Linked DNA regions of Oreochromis niloticus. The protein of the gene in region 2 purifies or fractionates together with the protein of the main gene of each other region. This does not show direct contact. Links are inferred from orthologs where the notes say so. Each region holds a gene or a part of one and is shown on either strand. Other genes may lie near its edges. The genes, in order: camkk2 and obsl1a.

What was found.
Region 1: the proteins of obsl1a (region 2) and camkk2 purify together in Homo sapiens (affinity purification with mass spectrometry; 4 studies listed by BioGRID and IntAct, with this or other methods). This does not show direct contact. The link is inferred for Oreochromis niloticus from reciprocal best matches to the Homo sapiens genes OBSL1 and CAMKK2.

What each region holds. Positions count from the first base shown.
Region 1 is NC_031972.2:24,902,809-24,909,969, forward strand, and holds the start of camkk2 (calcium/calmodulin-dependent protein kinase kinase 2), read left to right. Parts: upstream 1-4,052; 5' UTR 4,053-4,381; intron 4,382-4,544; exon of another isoform or gene 4,545-4,724; intron 4,725-7,161. Other genes in the region: snrpd3l (small nuclear ribonucleoprotein D3 polypeptide, like), read left to right, coding at 948-1,073, 1,769-1,961, 2,402-2,466. UniProt on the Homo sapiens protein: Calcium/calmodulin-dependent protein kinase belonging to a proposed calcium-triggered signaling cascade involved in a number of cellular processes. Isoform 1, isoform 2 and isoform 3 phosphorylate CAMK1 and CAMK4. Isoform 3 phosphorylates CAMK1D.
Region 2 is NC_031986.2:17,450,393-17,457,485, forward strand, and holds the start of obsl1a (obscurin-like protein 1a), read left to right. Parts: upstream 1-4,004; 5' UTR 4,005-4,439; intron 4,440-5,854; 5' UTR 5,855-5,928; coding exon 5,929-7,093. UniProt on the Homo sapiens protein: Core component of the 3M complex, a complex required to regulate microtubule dynamics and genome integrity. It is unclear how the 3M complex regulates microtubules, it could act by controlling the level of a microtubule stabilizer.

The DNA.
Region 1 (7,161 bases), on a different chromosome or scaffold from region 2:
ATCGGTGTATCCAAATTCCTTGTGAACCCGTAAAGCCATAAAAATACAGATCCCACAATGCACTGCAGAGCATCACAGGAAGCATTCGATTGAACCGCCGGTGCATTGTGGGAAGGCGGAAAAAGGGCTCAAAAGGTAGGGAACCGCGTCTGGCGCACGTTGCAACGTCAAAAGAAGAAGCAATAACAAAGAAACTAGCTTTTACGATAGACTCCAGGTAAGAAACAAAAATACTCGTAATTCAACTGAGACTGTAAATTTTTTCCATGCTCATTAGCAGCGTTGTTTGTTTCTTGTGCGTGTGAATCAAGCGCGTTCGTTCAGGAGCCAATATGGCTCCGTCTATTTGCCGAACTAATAACTTATTACTGCAATAAAGAGGCAAGTGTTAATGTTGAAATCGTATTTGTGTCATTTTAAGTTTAATTTGTTACACATGGCATTAATTGGGTTACATTATTGTATGCAACCAGGATATATTATTGTCCATTAGCCTAGCTCGCTAATGAAGGCTAATTCCTCTCGCAGCTTCGATATTCAATGATTTGACTGAGAGATTCGCTTTATTGATCAGAAGTTAACTGTAGCTTGCTCATCCCATCTTAACGAGGGTCACTGATTGTTATATATTAACTCCCAGCAACTCTTTAAACAGTATAAGAGAGCTGATTATCGTTACACAGGCAGTACTCGAGTGAAAAATAAATTGGCGAGGATAATGATGTGTGGACAAGTGAAATGGTTCCTGATTGCCTCTCTGGTGTTTCTGTAACTAAACGCATCGCAAAATTAACAAGCCAGTTAGCCATACAGTTTGGTTACAGTTAAGTGTGATGTTTGATGAAAAAAAAAAAAAAAAATGCGTTTCCAGGAGCTTACAGCCTGTGAATGTGCACAGTGTAACATTTCTTCTGCTAAATTTTGTTTTCCAGAAACATTCTTGAAAAATGTCCATCGGCGTTCCAATCAAGGTCCTGCATGAGGCAGAAGGCCACATTGTGACCTGTGAGACCAACACTGGAGAGGTTTACAGAGGCAAGCTGATCGAAGCAGAGGACAACATGAACTGCCAGGTCAGTACATGATAAAGAGTGGAAAGTGAATGTGGATGGTGCTCCTCCTTACGGGGGTCCCATCAACCAAACTGTTGGTACTGTATTGTTTTTATGATATTTTTTTTTTTTTTTTTTTCCTCCCTTAATTAGAGTAATCAACAGTTTAGTCTTTAATAGGCTGCTTGATCATTTGAACAAGTTTTGTTTACTTTATTTTCAGGTAAATGCCCCTAAATGGCTTAAGGTCTTGTAAGGCAACACCGATAGAAAAGCTTAATGAGGCTAAAAGGAATTGCATTACAAATAATAGTGTCTTTGTTCTCTGCGTCTCTCTGTTTTCCCTTTAGGTAAATGTAAAAGGACATCTGAATGTTCAGGTTCAATTTGTGGTGTTTTTATTTTAATTATAACATTTATTTCTAGTTTTTTGTTTATATTTATTTTTTTCCCCCGTAGTTGTTTAAAGGTTTCCAAGCTTTCCACCTGATGGTGTCAAAATAAGAGTGAATTGTGCTAATCAAGTACTGGAGACCTAGATCTGGTAGCTGCATTAGTAAGAGCCAGTTAATTAAAAATTGGTCCCAGATCAGATGGTAAAAATCTGTTCCTTTTATGGCTTTGTAAAGTTTAGATAACTACTGTTGACTTGAATAAAACACTAAAGAGCAGTTTGATTACATTTGTTGAAAGAATGATCTTTCTGTTTCTTACAGATGTCTAATATCACGGTGACTTATCGGGATGGCCGCGTGGCACAGCTGGAGCAAGTTTACATCCGTGGCAGCAAAATCCGCTTTCTGATTTTACCCGATATGTTAAAAAATGCTCCTATGCTGAAGAGTATGAAGAACAAGAACCAGGGATCTGGTGCAGGAAGGGGCAAGGCAGCTATTCTTAAAGCACAAGGTGGGTGAAAATTCGCAGTGGATTGATACACCTGTCAGTATGTTCAGTAGTGGGAGCAACTGATGGTGATTTAAACTCACTGCATGCATTGATTGCCTTTTTGTGTTTGTGCAGCATAACTAAATCCTACCATGAGAAAAGTGCTTTCTGTCAGTGTTGCTCTGTTCCTTGTGTAATAAGTACAGTCTTGTCATAGGTGCAGGGGATCTGTCAAAAACACTGACTTAAATGTTTCATTGTTGTTCAATTTGTCTTCACATCCCCTTTAAGATAGAGCTGATATTTTGCCAAGCGGGTGTTAAGGATACAAAATTAGACTTCACTGTACTTCTCAAAGTACTGAATGTATTATTAAGGTTACTGAACAGTTTTTCTGGTTCAGTGAGGTACTCTACATTAAAAACTGATAGTATGCCATCTTTGTTTTTTGTGCTCTCCAGTGGCTGCAAGAGGACGAGGGCGTGGTGGAATGGGAAGGGGAAACATCTTCCAGAAGAGGCGATAATTGCTCCAGCTATATTAACATTTTTGCATTGTATAGTTTTTGTTTCCCCCTTGAATTTGATATGTTGGATATCATTTGAAATCTTGTACTTTGCAGTCAGTTGCTTTAATTTCTTTTTTTTTATTAAAATAAAAGTTTTTCAATTTGATGTGTCCTGATGTTTTTGTTTTGTTTTTCTTCTCCCACTTACAAGAGATTCACTTGTGCCAACAGTCTTATTTCAAAACATCCAATATTTAATAAGGAATGTACTAGGAATGCGGTGTTTAGCTTTATCCAAGTAATTTCAGTGTTAAACCCTGGGTTTTCTGTACTATAAAAGGTTACCTGAGTATATTGCCATGTTGCCTTCTGCTGTGGACCAGATAAAATCGGGCCTAAAATCACCACATACTAACCAATCAATTCTTTGGAAATTAATTTTACTATTCCAGAGGAGTCCTTGGCCCTGTGCAGATGGCAGCATTTAAAGGATTTCAGCACCATCCAGTCTTTTTTCCGTAATGGGCATCAGTAGTAAGTACTGCATTGATTCTTAAATGCTACCTCTCTTGTGTTGGCTGCAGACCTTGTATAAAATGTGCATGTAGCCTAAGCCTACATATGAATGTTGTTTTTATCTTTGTTTACGCTGACCTTTAAATTCATTGGAATTCAAAGGTAGCTAAAAAGGACAAAAACCAAAAACACTTTTAAACATTAATGAAATGCTCAATTATAATCCATGAGATTCTTCCCCTGTTTTAATACTAGAAATGTGATATTGGAAAGTCTGTTAACTCGCATATCATTTTCAAGTGTTGTTGACCAAAACACTCAAAGTGCTCACACATTCATGCAGAGCCTTTAATACTTAACTACTGTATAGCACTTCTTGTTTCAGAAACTGACTTCTGATTTCAGTCTGCATTCTGTGTTTAATATGTTACTTTTTAAAAAATATTTTTATTGTAGGTTTATCTTCCTTCATCTCTTTCATGTGAATGGTCAGGCAAGACCCTGGGTTACTTGACACCAGATTTGTGTTAGAGGGATTGTGTATCTCACATTTTTTTGATGCATAAGTGTAGTCTTTAGAAAAACAAACAAACCCAAAATGTTTTGGTTTGTAAATTAACTAGTTAAATTGTGACCATGAATCATCTTTCAGGATTTCAAAGTCTGAAATTCGCAGCAAAATTTACCTTTTTTTTTTTACTAGTTTTCCTGAGTTGTTTTAAATGAATGCAAAAAAAACTTAGAGTACTTTTATACCAAATGCAGAGCAAGCAAGATCTTGAACTTGATAGTTAAAACAGTGGTTGCATCACTCTACTGTGGAGACAGTGCCGGAAGCTTAATGATTTAAAGATAATGGCTATCAGAAGCAACCACATAGACACAAAGGACGTGTAATGAGAGTGGCTTGGCTGTAGTGTCCTGGTAGCCATCACAGCCATCCTAAATATAACAGTCTTATTATATAAGACCTCTAAATAAAATCGGCCCATCATTAAAGAGCCAAAGCCAGTTTATTTTACTAGGTCCAACTCTCCAGTACACCACAAGATGGTGCTACTAGGTCATAAAGCATTTAAGGCAGAAACGACCAGGAACCGTCAATGTTATATTTAGAACTCGTGAAATAAAAGAAGGCAAAAGGGCAACGTAGCCCTCAGCGGAAGTAGCTTAGGTTGTTTGTTAGCACATAATAGCGTTACGTTAAATGCCTGCCGTTAACATTTCCTCCATGTGAAGCACGGGACCTGCGTGCTCAGCTGGATTGGTCCGTGAAAATATCGGTTATCAGTCTGTTACAGTCTCCGTTTCTCAAACAGCTAGCTAGCTCTTGCAGGGCAGAAGCTACTCACACAGCAGACGAGGAAGGAGAGGGAACCTTACATTTCTAAATTGTAGGCCTAAATAACACGCCAAGGTAAGGTTTTTGTTTGTTAAATCACACAGTATATATACAGTTTTCTTTCTTTCTTTTTTCTTTAAAAAAAAAAAAAAAAAAAGATTGCTTCCTGCATCTTTGCCAGCGGCTGTAGCATGAACGTTACTGGGACGTACTAGCATCACTGACTCCTTCATCCACAACATCTGTATCTTGCCAGATGAGGCAGCTGCTAACGTTAGCTGAGCTGGTTGGCTTAGAAGCTCAGAGCTAAGTTAGCTTAGACTTGAGACGGCGGTGACTTTGTGAACGCCTAAACAACACCGGAGCAGCTTAACCGCTTTGACATTTACAGTCGATGTAGCAGCTCCTATCTGTGGGTGTAAGTAACACGAAACCCGGTGGTGCCAGTTGCATGTGCTATTCTTTATCGGTTATCTCAAAGATTGTTTGTGTGGTTGTGAAATTGCAGAGACAACGAGTCTCGGTTTAGTCTCAAATCTTCATGTTGGGCTCTGGTAACATCTAATGTTATCGCTTTTGGGAAGTTGCGCTGACATATTCTTGAGGAGAGAAAGCCTCTGATGGCACACAGAGTCCCCGATGTTATTTATTTTAGTTATCATTGTGTTATTTTTTGTTTACTTGTATACAAGTAATTTTAGTCTTTTGGAAAACAATTTAAAGTGTGTATATATATATGTATATATATATATATATATATATATATATATATATATATATATATATATATATATATATTATTTGACACATTTAACTCCTGGCATCACTCTACAGAATAAATTGAACTTTAACTTTGATATAGTAGGTTTAGTGGTTATTTTATAAGGTTAGCCTTAACCTTCCAGTAGATACAGAGTAGAAATGTGTAGAAACACATTTAATGTGTTGTACCTTCATTCTGGAAAATGCCCTTTAAATTTACTTGTATCATATTTTTTTAATGATTATGATTATGATTATGATTATTATTATTATAATTATTGAAATTCTTTATTTTCATTCAGCAATTTATGTTTTGAAGGCTGGTGACAGAACTAGTAAAATATGTTTACAGATTATTTTAAGTCTGTCCAATAGAGAGGTAAAGAGAGATAAGGTGCACACTTTAAATAATACATAAATAAATAAGTTAGAGTAAAAAAAAAAACAATAAGAAAATTAAAATCCAGTTTAATAGGTTTAACATATTTCACCCATTAATTAATCCCATTAACCTTTTACTCCCAGTTTCCTTAATCCTTTCCATGGTATAAATATCACTTACTATCTCTGTCCCCTCTGTGGCGGGGGCTCTTGTGTCATATCATTAAAACCGTTTAACAGGAAATGGCTGATATTTGATTTGTGCCATTGTAACGTAGGGCATGACTGATACATATTTTCACAGAGTCTTTGTGGAGTTTGCATTGCTGCCCCTCCGTGAATCCACTGGAGGGCTGTTAAAAGGGAGATCTTTTGCTCCACCATTGTCAAGTGCTTTCGTATCAAGGAGGCTCAGATTGGCGGGCTTCTCTCTGTCTTTATCTTGCAATACAAAGCAGCTTGCTACATAAATAAAATTGAAATAAGTTCAATTTAATGTCTGGGTCACCAAATGAGTTTTTCAGATTCTCTCTAAATTGTGCTGTGATTATGTGGCAACACTGCAGCTAAGTTGATCAAGGACAATAATTCCTCCATTTACAGGAGCTTATCTCTTGCACGGTGCCGGACATCGCTGACAGTGTAACCCTGTTGATCTTTTAATGAAGCTGGGGATCCTCCTCTGCTCCAGATGGCCCTGTGTTGTACTGGTATTTCCATAACACAGTGCCTGTGTTGTTATTAATGCTCTACATGGCTTGGACCCCCTGCAAGTTGTGATAAGTCCTCTCTTCCCCTCCCATCCTCTCCTGGTCGGATAGTGACGGGCAGGTCACATGATTTTTGTTATGGTAAAAGGCACGGTATGGCATCTGGAGCTAGGCAGCATCTGTTGGTGTTTCTCGAGGCTCAAATCTGACTCCTTGTTCTTCGTCGTGCTGCTGTGATCCGCAGGGATCAGGGAAGTTTTGGGCTTTAGCCAGCAGTTCAGTCATTAATGATGCACAGTGTCTTTGTACAAAAATGAAATTGAAGTCTGTGCAGTTCTCTTGTATCACAGAAACTTGGTGACCTTTGAGGTAGCGTATTTATCTTTAGTGCGAGGGAATTGGGAGTTTGCAGTTTCAAAAATGACTTTAGCAAATAGTGGATGCGAAATATTGTATCAAACCAACTCATCATGATTTCAGAATCTGAATCAGAATACTTTATTGATCCCTAGGGGAAAGTATGTAAGCATGCAAGTACAACTCCTGCTGAAAACCCAGACTTTCTAGGTGGGAAACGAGATTTGCAGTAATATTGTCTTGTCTGACTAACAGTTATACTGTCAAGTTAGGAGTTTATGCCATCATCAGTTATGATAATGCATAAACACTTTTTTGTTTTCATGGAAACAGGCCTTGTTTTGTGTCATCTGTGTATCTGTGGGTCAAACTGGGTAAGTTATCACTCACTTCTACTCGGAATACTTTTTTTAATGAATTAAAACCAACCAAAAAGTGTCTGCTTTTAATAACATTTCAGACGTTTTCAGATGTTATTAAAGCCAGAGGTGTTAAATTGACCTAGAAAAAGAAGCAAATAAGCAACATTTATCCTCTACAGCAAAACTGAAATGAGAAGTTTGTGGTTTTGAAAATGTTTAAACATAACAGTTAAAAAAAAAATGTAAAAAATCACAAGGTGGTAATTTTTTTAAAAGGGCAATT
Region 2 (7,093 bases):
AAAAACACACAAAAGATCTAGATCCAAACATTTGCCTGCACCCCTTTTATTTACTAGCCAACATAATATTATGCTAGATTGATGTCTTTTTTATATATATTTTTTGTAAAAAAAAAAAAAACTTCTTTACCAAAAGACTTTAGGAACCAGAGAGGTCTTATTTGATCTGAAGTCAGGGTATATTCACTGCTGATGTCGATGTTATGCTTACAGAACAATTCGAAAACTGCCACTAAAAATACTCCAAACTTAAAAATATAAACACATTGTGTTTATATTTTTAATTCTAAATGTCATGTGACTTTTCCAGATTTTTTTTTAAAGAAATTTTTCAAATACAAATGTTTTTGCTGCATCACATTATGATGAATCTGGGTTTTCAAGGGTTTGTCTTCCATATTTATTCCTGTGCTTATGGACAGGTTTAGGTGCTGGCTGTTTTTAGTTTTCACTCAAGACTACCTGGGTCTTGCAAAGCTACAAATATGATTTGCCCCAAAATCAAATTGATGTATTTTCTGGCTTGTGGGGCTTAGATTATATAGGGCTGTGCAAAAGTCATGAACCATGCTTCACTTCTTTATGTTTTGCTAAAAACAAAATGGGAACTAGGTGCAATAATTTTGTGAAATGTGTGCAAACTTTAAGTGTATAGCAGTAAATAAGGCAATTCACAACTATAACAAGCTTGAAAGTCAATATTTGGTATGACCCCCTTTATTCTTCAACACAGCCTGATCTCTTGTCGGCAGCTTTTCTGTAATTTCTTTTTAAGTATTCTTTAGAAATAGTTCTCCAGGCTTCTTGAAGGACATCCAAAGCTCATTTTGTTCTGTTCTCTTTCGAGATGATCCCACACTGCGTCAATAGTATTGGGTACGGGCTCCAGGGAGGCCAATCCATGACTAAGCTGTTATGACACAACACCAGTTCATCATTTGAGTGAGGTGCCTTTGCATGCTTGAATGATGAATGATTTGTCTTAACAAACAAAAACATTTATCTGAAAATAGGTATGAGTACTGGACTGAAAACAGGTTAAAAAATTTTAAAAAGCAGACAATGTGCATAGAAGAACGTTGAAATACCTTCAAAAACCTGGAGAACTATTGCTCAAGACCCCCACTATAAAATTAAGAGGGTCACTGGAAGCAAAGACTTGCAAATTAGGAATGAGTCAGCCCTGTCACGCGGTGTTCAGGTCACTTGAATCGGGACTTTGGGACAGTGTGGCAGTGTTTGTTGAGAAAGCTTTTCCTAAAAAGGAAATGTTACTCGCATTCAGACTAAAGCTGCCTGAATTTCCCCGAAAGAGAGTGGAAGAATGACCTCCAAGGTCACAGTTAAATGGTAAATGGACTAATTCTTAAATAGTGCTTTTCTACTCTTCTGGAGCACTCAAAGCGATTTATACAACATGTCTCATTCACCCATTCGCACCCATTCATACAAGCACTTTTCTCTATTGTGATAATGGTGATGATATGAACTGAAATTTTGGTACAGATGGTACAGCAAACTGTGCTCACAGACAGATTTCTACAAGTACGCACAGAGATTTCTCCAGATTCTCTGAATCTTTTGATAATATTATGTACTGTAGTCAATTTTATAGACACTGTTTTTTACAGAAAGGCAAACCTCTGCTCACCTTTACTTCTGAGAAACTCTGCCTCTCTAAGACGCTCTTTTCCTAGTCAGTCATGTTACTGACCTGATCCCAAGCAATGTAATACGTTTCTCCAGCTGTTTCTTTCCTGTCCTACTTGCTTTTCTAGCCTTTTGCTGCCCAACTTTTTGAGACATATTACTGCCATCAAAGTCAAAATGAGTCAGTAGTTTTTATGACATTATAAAGGCAATAAAATATGGATTTCTTTGGAACTTTTTTGGAGTTGTCTCACACATATAAACAGAAGTTTTTTTTTCCCCAGCAGGCTTGTTGGTTGCATGGAAAAGGCGGAAGAGCTTAAATGTGGGTGATCACTTGACTCTGTTGTTGTTGATGTCTGTGTCTATATCATCTGCCAGTTCAGTACCCCTTTCATTTTCCGTACACCTTCACTCTTGTCTTTTACAGCAGTGATGAAGTTCGAGAAGGATGAGGTCCGGTCTGTCTACATGTGCGTGCCTCCTCTAGTCTCTGGGGACATAAGTACTTCATCCTGGGACCATAATGTTTCTGTAGATTCCCAGTAAAATCAACCATCTTAATAAGACTGCAATGACAAACAGTTTAGCAGTGATCAGAACTGAACTCTCTTTTGTCCAGAGAAGGCCACACTTTTCCAGAATGATTATTCTATTTTGATTTCATGCTCTACAAATAAGAACTTAACACATCTAATGGACAGTACTGAAAAACAGTCCAGTATTTCTGTGTATGGCTTTTAACTTAGTGTTGCACAAAAGGCTTTTAACCTTCTGAAATCTAAGCATTCTCTCTATATGAATATTTTTATAACTTTAACACAGCACAGAAAAATAGTTTCCTTGGTTTGAAACGAGGATGATTGACATATTGTTAAAGACCCCAAGGTCTCAGTCAATCCTCTTCAGCTTTTGATATTGAAACCCAATCTCAGGACAAAGAGCAGAACTGTGCTTTTAATTCCTGGTACACCTAACAGCTGTGGGGATGACCGCATGGATTGTAATGTCAGAGGTATAAGTAGCCTTAAATGGGGCGAGCAGTGTGGTGTGACTCCTCCAAATGACTGTGGTATTAATTCATCTGTTCAGTGATACATGCTTGATAGATCACATCGCGTATTTCATTTAAAACCCTATAAATATGAATTTCTCATCATTATACTCGCACTTTAGGAAAGTTTAGTCTGTGCTTGACATGGCATTGTGTGTTAATTCAGCGCCGTCACAAAGGGGTCGAAGTTATGTGACCTGTATTCAAGGTCAAATATCCGTGACGACAGGTTGCATGCAGTGTGTATCTGTGGCTTCGGCTGTCCGAAACGCTCCACTTGAAGAGATAGGGCAGAGAGCTGTTGTCTGAGAATGCAGGCAATATGTGTCAACACCAAATTCAAATCTGCCACGGAAGGAGACAATTGATAAGTGAACAAGCACCCGTGCTCGCAGGGGGAAATAAAAATACTAAGATGATGACATGGATTTAGTGTTCATGTACTGCTCACCTATACTGTGTATCTTTTAGACACAACTGGAGAGCTGATTAGTTTTTGATCACGTAGTTTGAAATCTGACTCCAGTTGTATGTTACGCATCTTGTTTCATGTTTTAAGTTTTTCCAACAATTTATAGTCTTCTGAATGACTTACCTGTCCAGACTTGTACCATAAAGGGGCCTGAATTAAAATAAGTGTTATCACCTTATGAAATTTTTCGTATTATTTCTCTTCAAATCACAGTGTTATATAACTCATTTATCACTGAGATGAGCTGAAATACAAAACATACAAACACTTTTCACACACAAAAACAGAGATGAAGCGCAGGGCGTGGAGCGTATTAATATGAGTTGTTAACACTGCTTGGTTACAAAAAATTATGGTAGTTACTATGTTACAATTGTGTAACATTAACTGATGATGCAGTAAAAAGGTAATAATATGGCCATGTATCCAAATGCCTAACCCACCATAACATAGTCTTTTATCTGTTTAGCGTGAATTGCATTATCATGACACCAAACTCTTTGTTTCGCTTCCATCTGTTGATCATCCCTCAGTATAAACCATTTTCTAATGTGTGACACTAATTTGACCCTATTTATGGGTCAGCGTGACTCATGAGGCAAGGAGCTCCAGCAGGCAGGGCGTCCTTTCTCTTCTAAAGGTTTAACTCAGGATATCTTTTAAGCTGAGTGATCCATCGCAGAGCTCGGCCCCCTTCTATCTTTAGTGAACCATAGCCTGTCAATGGAGAGCCTAACTTTATCTGGCTCACTGTCATCGAAGCTGCTGGTATTTTTAGGGGGTGGCTTGCAGTGGCAGCAGCTGCAAAAGCATTTACTGCCCCCCACCACCAATTCCAGCTAGCTCTCTCTCACACCACACTCTTTAGCTATTGGACAATGACAGTATCAGAGCTGACGCATAAACCAGGCACTCAGCTGAAAGGCTGTGGTCATTTTACTCCTTGCCACCTGCAACCCAACACCAGACTGAGGGGACACAACTAAGATATTACTATGACTCTGGACCACCAAATGTGAATGGAAGATACCATTTTTCTCAGCTGCTTTGGTGTTCAGTGACCAGCAGGCGCTCCAAACAAGACAAACCAGGAAAACAAGGAACATGAGCTGAAGACTCTAAACGTGCTTCTTGAATGCTCACAGAATAAAGAAAGCACCAAAGATCATCCAAGTGAACTGATGCCAGCTTGTATTTTTAAGAATAACATTTTAAGGCATCACAAGAGAGACAAATGCTTTAAAGACAGCATCTCTTAAAGCGGTAAGTCTGAACTTTAACGACACAATTAGAAACTGTTGAGCTCTTTTTTGTGTCACTGTGTAATTCTCTCCTGAAAATGCCGGAGGAGGATCTTTTCTTTACATGTGCCAACAAAACATTCGAAGACTGACTAAGCTTGGGATGTGCCTCTACCTGTCATAAAGTTGTATGACTTTATGCTCTTTAGATGATTTCTAAGCGTGATGTGTCACAGAGAACAAATGGCTGCCGTTCTTGATGCAAAAAGAAAGGTGGTGACAACACAGAGGAAACAAATGAGCCATGAAAAGAGACAAGTGGCAGCTGCATTACAAATGGAGGCTAAAGCTTTAGATCTGGGATGTCAAACTCATTTGACATTGTGTTTATCTATAACTAAATAACTTTGGCTTAGCGTGAATGGTAATGGGGCAGGTTTTTATCAGTCATAAAGGCTGTAAAACCTTTGAAAATACAGTTATAAGCCAAAATCTATTACCTCCTTCACATTTTCAAAAGCCGTCAAGTGGGCTCGATTGGAGTCCTTGCCGGGCCAATTCTGGCCCCCAGACTTTATGTTTGACACCCTTGCTTTAGATACTGAATTGCTTAAGTTGTTGCTAGAATGTTACAATGAGCTGACAAAGAGAAGCCAACAGTAAGAGTGCAAACAACATTCTGTACACATGAATGTATATAAGGGATTAGTTGGTCCTAGTTAGTGACTGCAGGTGTGTTTGTGTGCTATGTGACACAGAGGCTCCAGCATCTTTTTTTGGACAGACTGCTTTATAAATACACTCTTCACTGAGCTACAGCACCAGCTGTGAGACAACCAAGAGTGTTTGCTCAATATCCACCTCGTAAAACTACTAAACTTCTTTACTTCAGCTTTGGGAACTATACTGAGTATTCTGAAAATTTTTAAAATTTGATTTAATTCAGTTTTATTTAAATAGTGCCAAATACCAACAACAGTCACTTCAAGGTACTTTATATTGTAAGGTAAAGACCCTACAATAATAGAGAGAAACCCCAACAATAAGAAGACCCCCCCCCCCCCCCCCCCACCCCCCTTGAAACAAGCACTTGGCGAGAGTGGAAAGGAAAAACTCCCTTTTAACAGGAAGGAACCTCCAGCAGAACCAGACTCAGGGAGGGGCAGCCATCTGCTGCAAAAGGTTGGTGATGAGAGGAGGAAGGCAGGACAAAGATACACCATGGAATAAATAGATATTAATAATATTATTGTATTTTATAAAACTGTTCACTCTTCATTCTGCTTTCAGTTTGAGTCAGATTACTGATGAACCCATCTGGGACACAATGAACACACAGTTACTGTTTAGATGGTGGTTTGGGGTTTGAACTCAAAAGCTGCACTCATGGCAGATTTTAATCAGTCTACTAAACTAATAATCTTCTTTCTCTTTCAGCTCTTCACAAAACATAAGAAGATCATTTTGAAAAGAAACTTCTTCATTCGACCCAAATAAAAGGTGACATCACCATGGATATTTTTGGTGGCGCACCTCGTGTTTTAGGCTATCCACGTCCTGTAGTGGCCCAGTGTGGAACAGATGCAACACTGAAGTGCCAAGTCGGTGGAGACCCACGCCCAGATGTGATCTGGGAACGCAAAAATGTCCAGATCCTGTCTGAAGGACGCTACAAGATCTCAGAGGAGGGAAAGGTTTACTTGCTGACCATTACCAGAGTGACCCAGCAGGATGCTGGCCAGTACATCTGCAAGGCTAGAAATAGCATAGGAGAAACCTATGCAGCAGCGTCCCTTAAAGTTGAAGGAGAGGCCCAGCAACAAGATGAGGACGCAAGACAGTTAGTGGTCAATGGTGGGACGCAACCTATGCAAGAAAACGGAGAATTTGTGGGACACCTAAATGGCTACAATGCAGTGCAAAATGGTGAACACTGCAAGGCAAATGGAGGGGAACTGAATGGAGGATGGAACAGCGGGCTAAGCGAAAAACAAGCAGAGGTTGATCTAACATCTGATGACAGACCGCGATTCCTCATCAAGCCCCTGTCTCTGCGTGTGGATCGGGGCGAAGACGCAGCCTTCTCCTGTAAAATCTGGGGGACCCCTCTGCCAGAGGTGATTTGGGAAAAGGATGGGAAGAAACTCAATGACATCTTTGAGAGTTCTCACTTCAGCATGAGGAATGAAGATGGTGGCTGGTTCCAACTCAAGATATATCGGACGCGTATGCCCGACAAAGGCGTCTACACCTGCAAGGCCGTCAACTGCCATGGTGAGGCCCTGGCTGGGGCCGTCCTTCTTGTCGAACCTGTACCAGAGCGAGGGGACAGCAAAACATCCTCGACCGGTCACACTAACAGCCAGTGGTCACCAAAGCACAGGGGTGGGAGGCCCGGTTTGTCAAGGATCACAGCAGAGCCACCTGTCGATGGGTCAAAAGTAAAGAAATTTGCAGTAGCGGAGGGGAAACACGCCAAGTTTCGCTGCTTTGTAACAGGGAAGCCAAAACCTGAGATCATCTGGAAGAAAGACGGAGTTCCCCTAGAGCCCGACAGACGTCATCTGATATTTGAGGACAGAGAGGGCTACTACACCCTGAAGGTGCTGTACTGTAAAGTGCAGGACACAGGGTTGTATGTGTGTGCAGCATCAAATGCGCTGGGAAACACCCTAA